Linked DNA regions of Coturnix japonica. The protein of the gene in region 1 purifies or fractionates together with the protein of each later gene. This does not show direct contact. Links are inferred from orthologs where the notes say so. Each region holds a gene or a part of one and is shown on either strand. Other genes may lie near its edges.

Evidence for each region.
Region 2: the proteins of FNDC3A (region 1) and TENT5C purify together in Homo sapiens (affinity purification with western blotting; 3 studies listed by BioGRID, with this or other methods). This does not show direct contact. The link is inferred for Coturnix japonica from reciprocal best matches to the Homo sapiens genes FNDC3A and TENT5C.

What each region holds. Positions count from the first base shown.
Region 1 is NC_029516.1:151,229,919-151,239,309, forward strand, and holds the start of FNDC3A (fibronectin type-III domain-containing protein 3A), read left to right. Parts: upstream 1-3,583; 5' UTR 3,584-3,718; intron 3,719-3,784; exon of another isoform or gene 3,785-3,905; intron 3,906-6,199; exon of another isoform or gene 6,200-6,320; intron 6,321-9,391. UniProt on the Homo sapiens protein: Mediates spermatid-Sertoli adhesion during spermatogenesis.
Region 2 is NC_029516.1:70,989,152-70,996,987, reverse strand, and holds the end of TENT5C (terminal nucleotidyltransferase 5C), read left to right. Parts: intron 1-1,747; 5' UTR 1,748-1,773; coding exon 1,774-2,946; 3' UTR 2,947-6,900; downstream 6,901-7,836. UniProt on the Homo sapiens protein: Catalyzes the transfer of one adenosine molecule from an ATP to an mRNA poly(A) tail bearing a 3'-OH terminal group and enhances mRNA stability and gene expression.

The DNA.
Region 1 (9,391 bases):
CCAACCAATAGATCTTACGATGCCTAACTTTTAATCATGACCTGAAAAGAAAGGCAACAAAAGTATTCCAAGAAGCACAAATTCAAAATATGCTTCTTGTGAATGTTTCCATTATGACCAGGTCTGCTTTATTATTCAACTTTGTCTACTAGCAGCCAACTGTTAGTTTGCTAAGGGATCACTAAAGACAGTTCATAATTACCCCAGTGTACAAAGCCAAAAAAAATATCAGCGGTTTTTAAAAGTTATGAAGCCAATAAATACCACTTTGTTGGTGTTGACAATCACTGCTTTAGGTACGGATTCAAAGCTTTCTGTTATATAAAATGATACTTTCAATTCATGACGGAAAAAAATCATAGTTCAACTAGTGGTTGATTTCAATACGTTCATCCAGAAACAACTAAGATTTACAAGATACAAAAGAACCAGCTTCAGGAATCCCAAGGTGAATGTCATTGTTTGGAACATTTCATCGCTCTTACATGGGACTTTTGACTTAAGTTTAAAAAGTAGTATTACAACAAGTAGTTCTGTGCCATATATGTATTTCTCTATTTTAATAAAGTGAGATAAATGAACTCAGGATCTAAACTGTGCAGTCGCTCTTTCTGTGCATGCAATCCCTGTCTTTATTTTGCTTTTCCAGTTGGCAAATACACCTTTAAGTAATTAAACGCTACACAATTAGACCACTCTTTCAGTAGGGCTCCAGCTAATGTTTTCGAAGTCTTAATCTTGGCACAATGTTTGAAAAAATTTTACACTAATTAATTCTTTCTCATAGAGTTTGGTTTGTTTTTGCACCTGAACATCTTAAGGAAATGATCGGCCATGCTTGCTCTTGTTGAGCAATGCACTATTTTCCAAGTAATCCTGTTAAAACCGGTGGCATCTCTTCCAGAAAAGGAGATGAATCAGGAAGGGAAATAGCATATTCCACCCACCTTCTGAATAAAACAAACAGCAGATCACCCCAAATCCTTGATACTATGTTAAAGCTGCTCCCGTAATGCCAGATCTGAATGGCTGAATTTTGTTGTCTATGACTGGATTAATGTTTTTATCCATCTAATCCTCCCATTCATTTTGGTACCATAATTCTAAATATTCAGCTGGTTTAATCCTATCAGAGAATGATTGTCTTCACCATTTTTGTCATGAAAAGCAGGTAAAGAAGGCAGAGATTCCTGGATTTGTGTCTTTTTAAGGTGCCTATCCATATTTTGATAAAAATAAAGAACAAGTTAAGGAGACCCTGCTGATCATATCAATTAAATCTCAGGCTCCTTCTTTTTTCCCCCATAAACATGTATTTTACCATTGAAGTGAATCACGCCTAGCATTATACAGTCCTCATCAAACTTTAATTTTGTTACATTATTGCGACATTAAAGAGGGATTTTTACAGTTCTACTCATTTCAGACAAATCAGAAGGCAGTAAATAACTCCTGCTGGCCAGCAGTACCTTTGAAAGAGACCTGGACAGATATGATGACTGTCGTGCAGCTCAGGTGAAGATACAGGATAGCTGAAAGGACATAGAAAAAGCAGTAACTCAAGTAACTCAACTCAACTCACAACTGCTGTATGTTGAAGTGGTGAATCCTGCAACAGTCATACTCTTTTAACTTCGGAATTTGAGACTTTCTGCTTTCCCTGCAAGGATGGAAAAAAAGGAAATTTGATTAAAGTGACCCAGATTTTGAAATTAGCATGAGTTGCCCAGTCCTTATCCCAAGCACTGCATTGCTGCTTGTTTCTTATGAGTTAATGCAACTTAATACAAACATGAAATATTCACATCCATTCTTCAGAATTCCCTATAGCTGGTATCTTAATTTGACTGCAGAAAAGACGGCTACTCAAAGCAGGCACTACCAGACAAATAATTATACAACCTAAGGGATAAACTGCAAATCTTCTGATGGATTTGTCTTCTCTTGTCTCATATACTGGGTTTAGCTACCATCTCAAGTTCATAAAATGATTTTCATGAGTACTTGGATGTCTATCTGACACAAGACAGTAAAGAAATTACGCCTCCATGGCTTCTTCTGGGAAGTTCTACAGTGGATGAAAGCAGGAGCATTTGGTCAATCATCTGCAAGTAGCTGAAATCTGCACATGCAATTTAGACTGGTAAATAATCTCAATTTAATTTTCTTTTGTTTTAGAAAATCCATTTATTCACATCAGTCCATGAAAAGAGATAAAGAGATCACTATATATGGCTTTCCCTAGTCCTTATATTACTCAGAATGATTTTCGGGTGACTTTAGATGTTCTTCCAGCAGAAAATGGAATTCTATACACAGGCATTTAAGTATCTGTGACCTAAAAAAGAAGGAAGCAGACTGTGTCATGCAATGCAAACCTGCACACCATGTGGTCCAGTACTCAGCTAGGGAATCATAGAATCATAGAATCACCAAGGTTGGAAAAGACCTAAGAGATCATCCAGTCTAACCGTTCACCTATTACTAATAGCTCCCACTAAACCATGTCCCTCAACACAACATCCAGTCTTTCCTTGAACAAATTAATTTCCTTTGGACTGGAGAACAGTCCAAACCACTCTCAGCTTTTCCCTCTCACCACCATCTGTACCAACACACACAAAACGTTGCACCGATCCCTTAATTTCACCTGCAAGGGATGCAAGGGAGGGTTTTGACACCAGGAAAACAAATGATCTCCCAACAAATACAATTGGCAGAGCTCTCATATGCTGCGCAGCTGGACAGCACACAAGTGATCTCCCAGTAGATCCAATTGGCAAAGCTCTCCAGTGCTGTGCAAGTGGACAGCAGAGCCCACAAGCACTGCGCAGTGGCATTTGTTCAGCCCTGACTCATAGACAGACAACAGCCACCGGATGAATCACCAGCAGCGCGGTCCGTAACACCTAACGAGGTGGCTCATCCAAATATCGATCAGGCCCCAGTCTCTCCAGCTTTGGAGATCTGACAAACCACATCGTAGGATGCTGCTTCCAATGGTGAGTTCTGGAAGAGGGGCCTTCAGTGAGCATCCAGGATGGCAGAGTTCAATTGGTGCACCCTTGGGCTATCTTCTGTGTGCCATTAAGCTGTAAAAGTGCTCTGAGCACAGCTGATATGCAAGAGAAATAGCAACTGATTAACTCAATAGCTGAGAACTTGAAGGCAAATGAACAGAAGCGCTTTATGGAGCAGCTCATTCTGCTCAGCTCGCTGCTGCAGAAGGTCATTAAGCCCAATGCTGTAGGAAAATCATTTCGATCCACAACGGCTGAAAAAGGACAGACGTTAAGCAAAAGAGAATCACCAATTAGCATTCGGGACATCAGCTGGGCACTGCAGGTGTTGCAGGAACACACTTCCTCCTTACAAAAGCAGCTGGAGAAGATGCTTTATTTCCCTTTTTCTCTCACCAGCAGCACGCTGGACACGGTGTGTATGGGCACAAACACCTCAATGAGGAGGGGTCAGACCCACGACCCCCACCCAAGGCCGGGAGAGGTGAGTGAAGAACCTGCCCCACAGGCCCCGCCCCCCGGCCGGGAGCAGCTGTCCGCGCAGGCGCAGTGCGCATTGGATCTAACTGCCCCCTCGCGGCCCCTCCCAGCCCTCCACAAAGATGGCTGCCGCGCTCCGCCGGGCGAAGCGGAGGGGAGCGCTGGGGCTGCGGGGAGGAGGCGGCGGAGACAGCGCTAGCGGCGGGGGCCAGTGACAGGTGAGGGAAGGGGGAGGGGAACGGAGGGGTGAGGCAGGTAGCTGAGGGGCGGGCAGGGGGTGGGGAACGGCCGGCGAAGCGCCGCCCCTGCCCGAGCTGCGCCATCGGGAACTCCCCCCGCTCCCCGCCCTGCAGCCGCTGCCCGCCGCCGGCGGAGCTCGGACCGTTAGCCCGGGGGACCATGGCGGTGAGTCGGGGCGGGGAGAGCGGCCGGACCGTGTGTCCGTAGGGAGGGAGTGGGGAAACTTTCCGGCGGGGTATGTGTGTGTGTGTGTTGGGGGGGTCCCGCTGCTGGGAGGGGGCGGCTGGGAGGGGCCCGAGCGGCGCTGACAGGCGGTGGGAGAAGGGAGGGAGGCTCCGGCACCGCGCCGTGCCCCGCAATGGGGTCGGGGTGCTGCTCCGTGTGAGGGCTGTGCCGCCTCCTCCCCGCTACCTCAGCGAGTGCTGCCCGAGTGTTCGTGTCTGTCCCTTCTTCCCCGAGTATCGCAACGGGTTGAACCCAAACTGAAAGTTTTGGCGGCTTGCGGGCAGCTGGAAAGTGAAACCAGCGAGAAGCAAAAACGAAACTTTCCAGCTGATTTTTATTGCGAGAAGTAAATAAGCAGAAGGTCGGTGGCACGTAGAGCGGGTGGGAACGAGGGGTCCACCTCCCGACGGGTTGGTAGTTTAATCTATCCGAGGCGATATACGGAGTGTCAGAGTGTCAGGCTGCTTCCAGAACAGCTGGTGCCGTGAAGTCATTCCTGGGAAACGCTCTTTGTACCGTTTACGTCTGTGTTTGATTGGATGTGTAAGTGCCTTAAATCAGCCTTGAAGGCTTCGGATCTCACAGCAGCTTGTCATTGAACGTCTGGTAGCGTTGGTTTTAGCAGGAGTAGAAGCGAGCCTGTCTGAGCTTCCAGCTTGTTTTGTTGTTATGACAATAGGTAACTTTGTGTTTTGTGCAGCCCAGCTATACGGAAACGTTGCTGTAGCCATCATGGATGTGTGTATATTCCATGACAAGTAACAGCGTAAATCACAGCAACTCAGCAGCCCTTCACAATCAGCAAGTGCAATCGGTGGCATTTTAGCCATAGTTTTAAACAATTGTGAAGTCCAATCAGTTGGGGAGTGTCGAAGTAATGAGCTTTGATGTGGGGAGTAGGCTGTGTGCATGTGGAAGCTGGAGGTACCTGCGGAGCTCAGTATTGCAGGTTGGGTAGGGGTTGTGGTAACTGGTTTTCCTACTGAACACACAGGGCAGTGGGAGGGTGCAGATCAAGCCTGGGAAGATGATGTTGTGGTCTCGATTTGCTCTGTGTGTGAAGAGTGCACGCAAGTTGTAGAATCATTTAAGTTGGAGGAAGAAACCCCGCTCAAGTTTAGTCCAGCCATCAACCCATCCCCACCATACCCACTAACCACATCCCTCAGTACCACATCTACACGTTTATTAAGCACCTACTGGGATGGTGACTCCACCACCTCCTTGGGAAGTTATTTTGACTCTAGGTCTGAATGTGGGACTTATTTTGGCAGACTGCACCCGAATGGTTTTCTTGCTGCCTTTTTCCGGGGGAAGTGTGGGAATTTACATTGTGAATCACTTACACAAGGACTGTCAGGCTTTGGCTACTGAAACCTGGGTTGAAAGAGACAGTTCTGACCTCAGGAAGCCTGGTACTCAGCAGTGTGTTCACTTGGTTAGGGTGGGAGCAGTCTGCTTTGGGCAGTCACAGGCTAATTACTCCAGGAGATAACAGTAAATGGAATCAGATGAGTGTCTCAGGGCTTTCAGAGCAGGTGGAGACCTTCTGAGGCTTTCTTCTGTTGTATGACACACTCTGTGTAAGAGTTACTTGAAGTTCTGGTCTTTACACACAATGCTGAAGTTATCTAATTTCATCTTAGTGGCATCTTGACCTTTTTCAAACTATGAGTTTCCACTGCTTTGTGAACGTAAAGGCTTTTGATTTTCATTGGTAATAATGTAATGGAACTGCAGTAACTTGAATTATGAATCAGACCAATAACTCATCTGCTTTGGGCTGTGAGTTCTGCGGATCTTGGGATGCTTTTGTTTGTTATTCTTTGCCTTGTGGCCATTTAATTTAGCTTGAATTTGGATCTACGTCAGTGTTATGATGATGATTGTTCTGGCTCGAGATACCTAATGGAGATCCTTCCTAATTGTTATTGCAACTTTAACTACTTGACTGAACGTGCTACTGCAACGTTCTGTCATAGCACTTAACTGGGAAGCCAAAGCCTTGAAGCCTGACTGCAGGGAAGGTACAATTTTTCAGCATGGTCAATACTTTTCCCTAAATGGTTCTAACTTCTCAGTGCTTTTATGCATCTCACTATTTTAACTTGCTGGCAGGTAATTTCTGAAGTAGTGCGTGCCAGGTATTAGAGAAGACAGCTTTGATGAAGCTGCAGGCCTGCTTCCTAGACAGTATTGTTGTCTGCAGCCATCCCTGTGCTTTGTCCCTGCCTTGTGGAACCTGAGGAATTCCAGTCTGCCCTCCAGCATCCAGCAGCTCTGCACCTTTTGTTTGACCTCCAGCTTCCAATTGTGAAGGGATTTCTAGTTCAATCTCTGCTCAAGCGTCTACAGGTAACATGTCATGTTTCATTGGTGCATCTCTATGATCTGAAATATGAGTTGGATTCTCTTGGTTCTATCTGTCAATAACACCTCTCTATTTTATCGTCCATTTCTTTAAGACTATTGGCTGAGGAAAATTTTCAGGCAGTTTGTAGTGAGGTTCTGCTTAGCTGCACTTTATGGTGTCGAGGTGAATTGTGAGAGCCATTGCTTTTCCTGTAAGACCAGATGTAGTAAAAACAGATTTGACTTGGATTGTCAGTTTTTTCAGCTTAACTAAAAGATACCGCTGGTAGATGAAGAAAGTGATAATAGTTTGGAATGAGTACATAACAGCTATTTTTGTACAGTAAACACAAATAATGTTTACTTTGCTCATGGGGCCAATGTTTCCCGAGCTGCAGAGATGAGCACTTTTTCCTTCTGTTTTGCCGAATACATTCAACTTTGAGCTTCCTTAATGCTGGTGTTCGCTTGATGCCAGCATGGAAACACTCTTAACCTTTATCGTAAACATGTTTATCGATACACGTTGTGCTTTTGCTTATGGGCAGCAGTGTTTTGGATCCCCATCCAGGGGGTCTGTGTTTTGTAGGGCTGATGGGGTAGAAGAATGCTTAGAAAGTGTCTGTAACACTTCATAGCGCTGCATGTTTCTGGCAGGCTGTCGTCTTTAATTGTTCCAGTCAATCTGCATTTAGTTTCAGGTTGGACAAATGTTTTTGAAGTCTGCCTCCCACCCCTAAGATCTGGTCCTGTTCCAGCTGTGCTTCCATCATGTATTTGTGAGCCTGGAACCAGTGAAAATGTTTCTGATGAGCTGTCATATACTTTTTTGACAACATGGAAATAGAATTTAACATGCCATTCTGTCAATAACAAACTGTAATTCATAGCTAGTGCCTTAATATTGAGTGAAGGTTGTGCTGTTATCCTTTGCTGGTGTATTGGTGTATTCCTTTCAATACCTGAAGGGAACTTACACCCAGGAGGGGAGTAAACTCTTCGAAAGGGCTGACAATAGCAGGACATGGGGAAATGGTTTTAAGTTAAAAGCGGGAAGATTTAGGTTGGATGTTAGGGGGAAATTCTTCACTAGGAGAGTGGTTAGGCCCTGGAACAGGCTGCCCAGGGAGGTTGTGGATGCCCCGTCCTTGGAGGTGTTCAAGACCATGTTGGACGGGGCCCTGGGCAACCTGATCTAGTAAATGTGTATGTTTGGTGGCCCTGCCAGGCAGGGGGTTGGAAGTACATGATCCTTGAGGTCCCTTCCAACCCAGGTCATTCTGTGATTCTGCGTGATTCTGTGGTGTAAAATGTATTTCTGTTTGCTGCAGAACTTCAGGGATGGAATATATCCTCGTGCTTTCCAAACACTTTACTAAAACTTTAATGCCACGTTCATTGCCAATGTCTTCACAGTGCCTCTCAAACAGAGCCAAATAGACATACTGGGCCCGATGGTTGTGCTGTTCCAAAGCCAACTTTGGCAGGCAAACTCAACTGTGGTTAACATTGTTACTCTTGGTACCTTGTGTGCCAAACGCAATCCCAACAGGAGTTTGGCATAATGGTAGGAGTGCAGAGTATACTCTGACCTTCCTTGCAACATTGTTCTAAAGTACATAGGACAAAGTAAGAGTTGCAAACCTTCATTTAAGAGCAATGGGAAAATGTTCCACTTGACTACCTGCTTAATTTATACGTAAAGAACTATCGAAATATCTACAAGTTTTCAATGCGAGCTTAACCAGTAAACTTAATTCTTACAATCTGTCACTGAAAGAGAAGATCAGCGCTTTCTAAGGTGTGGTAAATCTCTTCTGCTTTCTAGAAACACTGAAGTAAGTCCTCCTTCCTTAGCAGTACATGACTTTCTGTAATATAATGTAAAGAAAAGTGCTTTGCAGCTATGACAGGTCACAAAACTGAACTGATGCACTCTGTGATTTATGAGGAGGAAAAGAACCTCAGAACAACCAGCAAACAGGAAAACAACCCTACTGATGGATGTATGGGAAAGTGACAAGGTCCTAAAGGATTTGTACTGTGACAGCTGTGAATAGCAGCGGGATTCAGGTAACTGAAGGGAGTGAATAGAGTACGTGGCACAAGAGTGCCAACTTCACTGTCTGTATGGCAGCTCTTTCTGAATGTGCTTTGATTGTTATACGTGAGTTGCGTTTAGAAGTGTGAAGCTCGGTTCTTAGTGCCTTTTGATCTTGAATAACTTGAGGTGGAAATGAGCTTCACAAATATTTACATCTAGTATAAAGTGAAAACAAAACCTAACCAGTATAGTTTACATATGTAAATACTTCCTTGTAAGTGGTATTGAGTTTCCCCAGTGTGCAGATACAATGTCTGTGGTAAACAAAGAGTTAGTGTAAGATCCTACAAGCGTGGGGTATGGCCAGGCTGCTCTTTTTCCCATAGCTAATACCATATCTTATCCTTTGATCACAAAATAAATGCTGCCTCTCCAACTTGACAGTTTTCAGGCTGCAAGGTTTCGTTCTTTGGTGTTTGTTCTTTTGAGTGGGGGAGCTTTATCTACTCTGAATTGGCAGGAGGAAACTGAGATGTTAGCAACAAAACCATCATGGGGATTAACTTTACTTTGGGGTGAGGAAGCAATTGTAGGGCTGCAAATTGATTACTAATGATGAGCAGAAGTTTGCCTGTAGCTGCAAAGTAATCTGTAAGGTAAAAATGAGATGTCTTTATAGAAGCATAAGAAGTTCCAAGCAATAACAGGTGACATGCAGTGTCCTGGCAATGAGAGAGAACTGTGGCTGTAACTATTTGCTAATACTTCTATGTATCTATTAGTGAGCTGTTAGTGGACTTCTACAGTAAGAGCAAATGCAAGCTGCAAGAAAGTACTAGGAAAGGAAGACTGAAAAAGGCTGTGGAATACTGACTGTTGACAATTAGTCCTAGGTGTGCTGCTCTGCCTTTGCTGATCTTCCCCTTCTGTAGCTGCAGAGACTCCTCTGTTTATGGAGAACTCGGGCATCAATTGCACGTTTAACTCAATGAGTTGCCTTCACCTTAAGATGCAGTTGAACTGCATGTGT
Region 2 (7,836 bases), about 80 Mb from region 1:
GGGTGGAAAGCTTTGCTCAAGTCCTCTCTGGTTGCCTGGTGTGCTGTGTGTGTTGCCTTGGCTGCTAAGGAGCCCACAAATGGAAAGGAGGAGCTTGGACACTTGCAGCTTGAAGTCAGGGGAATCTTGTGTTCTCTAGTGATCTGACGGATTTAATGGAAGTAGTATTTTTGGGGTAAAAGTAAACTTAATGTCTCTGTGGGCAACTCCTGTCAGCTCTGATACATCTGGGATTATGCCTGAAGGATTGAGTTTAAAGAAACTTCTGTTTTATTCTGAACTAGTTATCTTAAGAATCCCGGTTTTGTTTGATGCCTGCTGAAGCTGATGTGATACAGCAACAGAGCTAATAATGCTGCAGCTTGTGCTCAGGGACAGAAATTGCATCCCTGGGGGTTTTGCTACCTTGCTGTGTGTCTGAGCTAGGATTCTTCTCCTCTCAGAGGAGGTGACAGGTCAAATGATCTGTTCAGAGGTTGAAGCTGGTAGGCAACAAGCAAGGAATAACAACAGCTACTGTTTATATCTTGCTTAAAAAGTGTTCCATACACTATCCTGATGCATGCTAGGAAAATACATGATTGTGTTCTAAACAGTTCTAGGTAGGCAAGAGTTAAGTAAGCTAAATCTGAATAGCCTGACCTTGGCAGTTGCAAATACAGCTTTCACAAGTGTTTGAGGTGGATGAACATGAAGCCTCGGTCCCCAGCTGTTATGGAGCACCTGGCCATTAGATAAAGCTGGAACACTTCAAAAGGGAAGGGTGTATTAATACAATTTGGAGTTGCATGACTGTAGAATATATGTAAGCATCCACATACTTCAAAACAAGTAACTGAAGCACAAGGGGATGAAGAGGTCAACTGTGACAAGACTCCTTCAAGTGCTCAAACTTGAACTAGTCAGTGAGGTTCTCAAGTCCTTATTGTAACGTTAACAAGTGTGCCTTAATCCCACCTGAATACATGCCAGCTCTTATGAACTTGTTTTCCCTTTGTAAATGAACAAAAGGACAGGGCAAGTATGAATATTTCCAAAAAGGTAGTTTACTTGTGAAATGTATCTGAAAAAGAAAGATTGCTTAGAGACTGAAGTGCATGTTGAAAAGCTATGTTATCTGTCTTTACAGCTGAAATTCTGTCCAGATGCTGAAGTTCTATAGGTTTTTGCAGGAGCCAGGTGGACTTCGCTCTTATTGTGTCAGAGCTATGTGCTGGGTTATTAAGAAAGGGAAAAGAAACTTCTATGAGAAGTCTTGTCTAGAACACATTAGTACTTTCAGTGGATTGGATCTCCAAGCTTTGAAACTAGTATCTGAATGTCTTTTACTGTCATGTTATTTGGAGAGAGGTGTTTGAGTTTTAGTTGTAATGCAACAAGTTCAGAGTTAACATTTGGAAGTGTTTTGTGCTTATGATTGTCACTTGCTTCAGCTGGTACTGCAGATGGTCTTGGAAACTTGGATGAAGTTTTTGCATTATTTGTTGGGGCTTTCCCTTTGGACCAAATTACTTCTATTCAATTCTTATTACTATGTCATCACTAAAGGACTCTAAACTTTGAGCCTATACCTGTGGGGCAGTTGAGAACCACTTCAGGTAGAAGGCTTGCTGTTAATCGTTAGCACGAACGATTATTTCTCTCTAGTTTATATGTGTAGACAGAAAGTGAAGCTAGGCAGTGCAAACTGAAAGTCTGACTTGTTTTTTGTTTCCTTCCCCCCTCTCCCACCCTCACTTCCTTACAGTTTCTTTGGAGAAGAAAAACCTTAACATGGCAAGCAAAGGAAGTAATACAGATTGCATGTCATGCAGTGTGCTGAACTGGGAGCAGGTCAGCCGCCTGCATGAAGTTCTTACAGAGGTGGTTCCAATTCATGGACGGGGTAACTTCCCAACGCTGAAGATAACTCTGAAGGACATAGTTCAGACCGTCCGGAGTAAGCTGAATGAAGCAGGCATTGCGGTACATGATGTCCGTCTGAATGGCTCTGCAGCTGGCCACGTCCTGGTCAAAGATAACGGTCTGGGCTGCAAAGACTTGGATCTCATTTTTCAAGTTTCTCTTCCAAGTGAGGCAGAGTTTCAGTTGGTTCGAGATGTGGTGTTGCGTTCCCTCTTGAATTTCTTACCAGAAGGAGTAAGCAAACTGAAAATCAGTCCAGTAACACTGAAGGAAGCCTACATCCAGAAGCTGGTTAAGGTGTCCACTGAGTCCGATCGTTGGAGTTTGATATCGCTTTCCAACAAACACGGCAGGAATGTGGAGCTGAAGTTTGTAGACTGCATCAGACGCCAGTTCGAGTTCAGTGTAGACTCTTTCCAAATCATACTGGATTCTCTGCTCTTTTACTATGATTGCTCAGAAAATCCCATGTCGGAGCACTTCCATCCAACTGTGATTGGGGAGAGTATGTATGGAGATTTTGAAGCAGCTTTTGATCACCTGCAGAACAAGCTGATAGCTACCAAAAATCCTGAAGAGATCCGAGGTGGTGGGCTTCTGAAATATAGCAACCTCTTAGTGCGAGACTTCCGGCCCATGGATAAAGATGAGATCAAAACATTAGAGCGCTACATGTGTTCCCGGTTCTTCATAGACTTCCCAGACATCCTGGATCAGCAGCGCAAACTAGAGACCTACCTCCAGAACCACTTCTCCAAAGATGAGAGGAGCAAATACGACTACCTCATGATTCTGCGCAGGGTGGTGAATGAGAGCACTGTGTGTCTCATGGGACATGAGCGAAGACAGACTCTCAACTTGATTTCTCTGCTGGCGCTCAAAGTGCTGGCAGAACAGAACATCATCCCTAACGCCACTACTGTTACCTGTTACTACCAGCCAGCACCGTATGTTAGTGATGTAAACTTCAGCAATTACTATCTTGCAAATCCTCCAGTGCCATATAACCAGTCCTACCCCACTTGGTTGCCTTGCAATTGATTGCTTCACTTGAGTGTTCTTCAGCAGAGGCTTCTAAAAGCTGAGTGTACATAGACAAATAATGGACATTTGTAGGTTTTCTAGTAAGTAAGACTGTGGACTAATTACTTCCTGGCTTGCAGTAGGAATATGCAACCAGGCAACCTGTGAAAAACTTCTTTGGTTCATCTCTACAAATGCCGAGAAGCCTTATTACCTCTTCACTGCGAGAAGAGAACCAGCAACCAAATATTAAAGGAATAGTTTCAGGACTAGGTACTTGTGTTGGAAGTGGCTATTAACTTGTCATCTAAGTGGAGTAATTCAGTAAACTGTGGTAGTTAATAGAGCTAAGACTGGGAAATTTATTGTGCAGAGCAGAAGCTGATTTAAAACCAAAACTTTTTGTTGACAAACCTCACTACTTTATACATCTTCAGTTCAGATTCTGGCCAGCTTCTTATTGAATTCTTGCGTAAGAGCTTAGGCTGCTTCTATTTGGCTGTGTGGAACTGGTTAGTGTATGGATAATGTCCCTCTTGTAGAGGGCCCAGTGGCTGTTTCCTGTAGTGCATGGGCATATGTGGTCCTGCCTCAAGTTGAAGGTTTCTTTGAAGCTGGTGATGGATTGATGAGCCTGTCTCTAAAAGCACGAGTTCAAGCTTATTGGTTTATCATAATAGTTTGGTCACTGTGTAACATGTGTTTCTGGGAGGTGAAATTCTTGATCTATTGTGGTCTCAAACTTTACTTGATGAGGTGTGTAACCTCTAAGCAGAGCTCTGTACAGATGCTGTATGTGGTGAAAGTTTGCCCCTAGTTTCAGAATAACCTCTGAAGGAGTATCTACTCACTTGGAGGTGCAGGGGGCTGAACTGCATGTGCTGAACTTTCTGCTTTGACACTTGTGTACTTCATAAGGATGGTTCTGTATGTAGCAGTACTAGAAACTGACTGGTAATACCTTAACTGGCAACTTTCACTCAATTGCAATAGTAAAATTCATACACTGTAAATGCTTCTGTTTTCTTTGTTTAATCAGAGAAGTAGACTAGAAAGACAAAAATTAGAGCTATTTAATATGTACTGGTGCAACGGTTAAGGATACTTAATTGTTAACTCCTATGTCTTCTTGCTGTCTCCCTGAGTGTATGAGACCAAAGTGCTGGATCAAACAGATGATTTAAGTCTAGAAAGAAAAGCAGATGGAATAAAACTACATGGTTGCTGTTAGATGTGAAGAGTAATAGCAGAGCAGCATTTACTTGGCAGTGGGAAGGACTGCCTGTTCTTAGTAGGACCAAAGGTTTCTTGTTATGTTACAGGCTCTCCTACTTTCTCGTAACTAATGCATGAAGGCCACCTTAGTGTAGCAACAAGGCACTTCTCACCTGGAATACTGACTACTTGGAAGGCTTTTCTTATAACTGATGTGATGTTGGTGTTGTCCTGAGGGTCAAAGGTAATGCAAGCTTACTGATGTAACGAGTTACTTCTGCATGCAGAGCAATACTTGGCGTATTACAGAGTATCACCAGGAGAAAGTTCTTTTGTTTAAGAACTTGTAATTGCTTTCATCCCTTAAATAGCTTCAACTGACTTTTTTGTTTTGTAAAGCTATGCCTGTTCCAAAAGTAAACCAAAACCATTGCCTAGAGGGACGAGTTTGATCTGAATATCAGCTTAGACTTGAGTCTTGTGGGATCTCATAGCTGGACTTTAGAAACTGTGTGTATCAGCTCATGCAGAAGTAGTAGTCAATACTGAAGAGGAGCCCTTATAAGTTTGATGCAAGTAATCTTTTTTCTTACTAGCCTTTGAATGCCTTGGCTGCTTAGTGTCAGGCCGGATGTGTCTACTGGGAAAAAAAGTGCTAGAATAAAGCTCTCCTGTGTTCCTTCTGAGACAGAGCTATGGGCACCTAGCTTCCCGCAATAAATATTTGTGCTCTTGGTGATGTAACTTGTTGCTGAGGCCTCCAAGGAAGCTTTGTGTAGAATGCTAGCTCTCTAAACAGCTGACTCCCTTGGTTTAAGCTTTGCAGGGCTACCGGGTCCGACATATTAAATTACTAATGCTTTTTAGCCTGGTTGTTAAGTTCTTGAGTAGTTAAACTGTAGCCTGTGGTTGCTTATTACTTACTCCATTGTCACTGAACAGAAGAAACAAAGTTACTGGGACTGCGTTCTGTGTCTCTTTGCCTTAAAATAATCCTACTTGGGCAGTTTAGACAGAGTTGAAATACAGAGTTGAATAGATTTGTCAGGGTGCTGCTTGCAGTCTACTACTTTCTGGTTTCAAATTGTTGTGGCAGCAGCTCAATCTGGTTGTATGCTAGTTGGGTTGTGATCAGTTTTACGAGGACCCTGCAGCTGGGAGTAATATGAGAATGAATGCTAAGGTGATGACCCATGGCCAAGTTCAGGGTGCCTGCTTCATTCAGTCTCCCTGAAGTGCTAAATGGCGCAAGCCTCTTCTCTGCTTGCTTCTGTATCAAGTAGAAGTTTGAGAGAGGCTGCTAAACTTCAGGCTGTTACCCCAGTGCATTCTTTCTAGGCAGTGCCATCATAGCAGAACTGCAGAAATACTGGACTGCAAGACTTGTATCAGCACATTGTTCCTGATGATTAGGCTTCTAGGAGACTAGACTAGTTTAAAATAGCAATTTTCTTCCTGTAGCTTAAACTCTGCAGGGCTAAGCCAGTCCGAAACATCTGTTTGTGAATATTCATCACCAAGTTCCCTTTAACTTACAGTTTATTGATACTACTTCCTCATTATAAGAGATTAAATCTTCTTTATTTGATAAGGATGCTACTAAAGAAACCTACCAGTGAAGTGCGTTTTAGTCATTTTCATTAGATCCCTGTGCTAACCACCATAGTTCTGAAAAGTGATAAGTTAAAGCATACCTTATGCTCCCTCAACTCAAGATGTAACTTGCTGTGCTTGTCTTCAGCTTGTTAGCTGTGACACTAAGCAGGAGATTGTGATAAATGGTTACTCAGAAGCAATCTTTTACCTTGAGTAGCCTGTCTACAGAGCAGAAGGTTTAAACCAGGTCTCAATTAGGACTTTAAGTATTTGGACTTATAGATATCCATATTTTTGGGCTGAGTTATGGGGTTGAGCATATGGTATGTTTTGTGCCTAGATATCATGGGATTCTAATAGAATAGCTGCTCATTCTTGGTAGTGAACTCTGCTTATCACTACACGAGAAGTCCAAATTACTTTAAGAGGCTTTCTCCAAACAAGTTACTTCAGTTTTAAACTGCTGGTGTGTTGATAGTGCTCGCTTAGTGAGAGGTATAAAAAACTAATGGAATTGGGTGCCGTAGTTGTTAGACGCAGGAATAAGCAATAAGCTGGTCATTGTTAGTAGCAAATGTGTGATTTGGGCACTGGGAGCCAAATGAATGGTAATACTTCTAGCCTTTGCATCTAAGTGTTGCTCAAACCATTACTGTCAGCTGTTAAATATGGTGAACTGTATTTCATATGGGCTATTTAATTCCAGTGGAACTCGCTCTGAGGTGGATTGCTGGGCTATATAGTTATAGAAGCTTTGGGAGTGGTTGGAACTCTCCAGCTTTTCTTCGTTACCTGAAGATGAAGCCACTTACTGAAGTGTTTGCATTGGGCTTGTCTCTCTTTCTGGTTAAAACCTCACGATTTGTTGAAATGAAAAAGCTTTTTTTCTGTTTATTTTTTTTTTTTTAATTTTCCTATCAGAAGTCAGCTCTTGGAAAATCTATCTTGAACCTGTTCTGGAAAAGTAATTTTGTTTTGTTTCTTTAAGCTGGCAGGATAAGATACTAGAAAGATTTCAATTTGCGATGAGCCCAATTGTGAGATTAGTTACAGTAACTACCTACTGTCCTGCACTGTGGTGTTCACTTGTCATCCTTGGAAATTGGGTTTTGGAGCTTAATGATACTGAAATAATTGTACAAATAAACATATGTGAAACACTCTTTGCCTCAAGTTATTTTTGCCTCTAAGTAGACTGGAATTGCATCCAGTGGCTGGAAATACCTTTGGAGCTTATTGTCTGTTCAAAGTACTATGAACTTCAGAAGGGCACTCTGGAAACCTTCTAGCTCAACTCCCTGCTTAAGTGGATTCCTTAGAATATATGCAATAAATACACTGTGAGGTGAAGAAATAGTGATGAATTTATACAGTAATGTTTTCCTCCTGGGCCCTCCTCAAGGAAGGAAGGCTTTTTATCATAAGTGTATTTATCAATCTCTTGACTGACTGAAGATTAGAAGTGGAATGCGATTAATCTTTTACTTAGTTTGTAGTGATGGTTTGTAGAGAAGCATTTGGTCAGTGTGGGTTGAACAGGTCAATGCTAAATAAAAGATAGGGGCATGTGGCAGTCTATTTGTTGCTCTAGATTCAAAAATAAATCTTCTATAAAAAGCATGCTTGACATGATGCCTTTGCTCAGTCAACCTCTACCCTGTTAGTTAAGTAACACTAGAGAAATTCCAGCCTTGAAGAGCTCGTAATGGCTGTAAGTGCAAGCTTCTGCAGAGACTAGAGTGTGCTATAGTACTATGAAGACAGTTATGAAGCTTGTGTAGTTGCAATTTCTTCCCCAGACTTAAATGGAGAACTGATAATCCAGCTGTACAAAAGCTGGATGGCACAGACCGTTAGTTTGTCATCTGAAACACTCTCAGCTCCTCAATTTATCTTGTGATAAAAGTTTCAGGGCTTTTTTTTTGTGTGTGTGTGTGTATTAGTGTGGGTATTAGAAGCACCAGTTATGTTCTGCTATAGCAACACTACTGTAACCTTCTGCTTTGGCTCAATGGTTTTAAAAAAAGCACCCTGTATCCTGTAGGTGAGGCTGCCCAGTGGAAGTAGTAGTCAACCTGCCAAACCTTAGTAGTAATT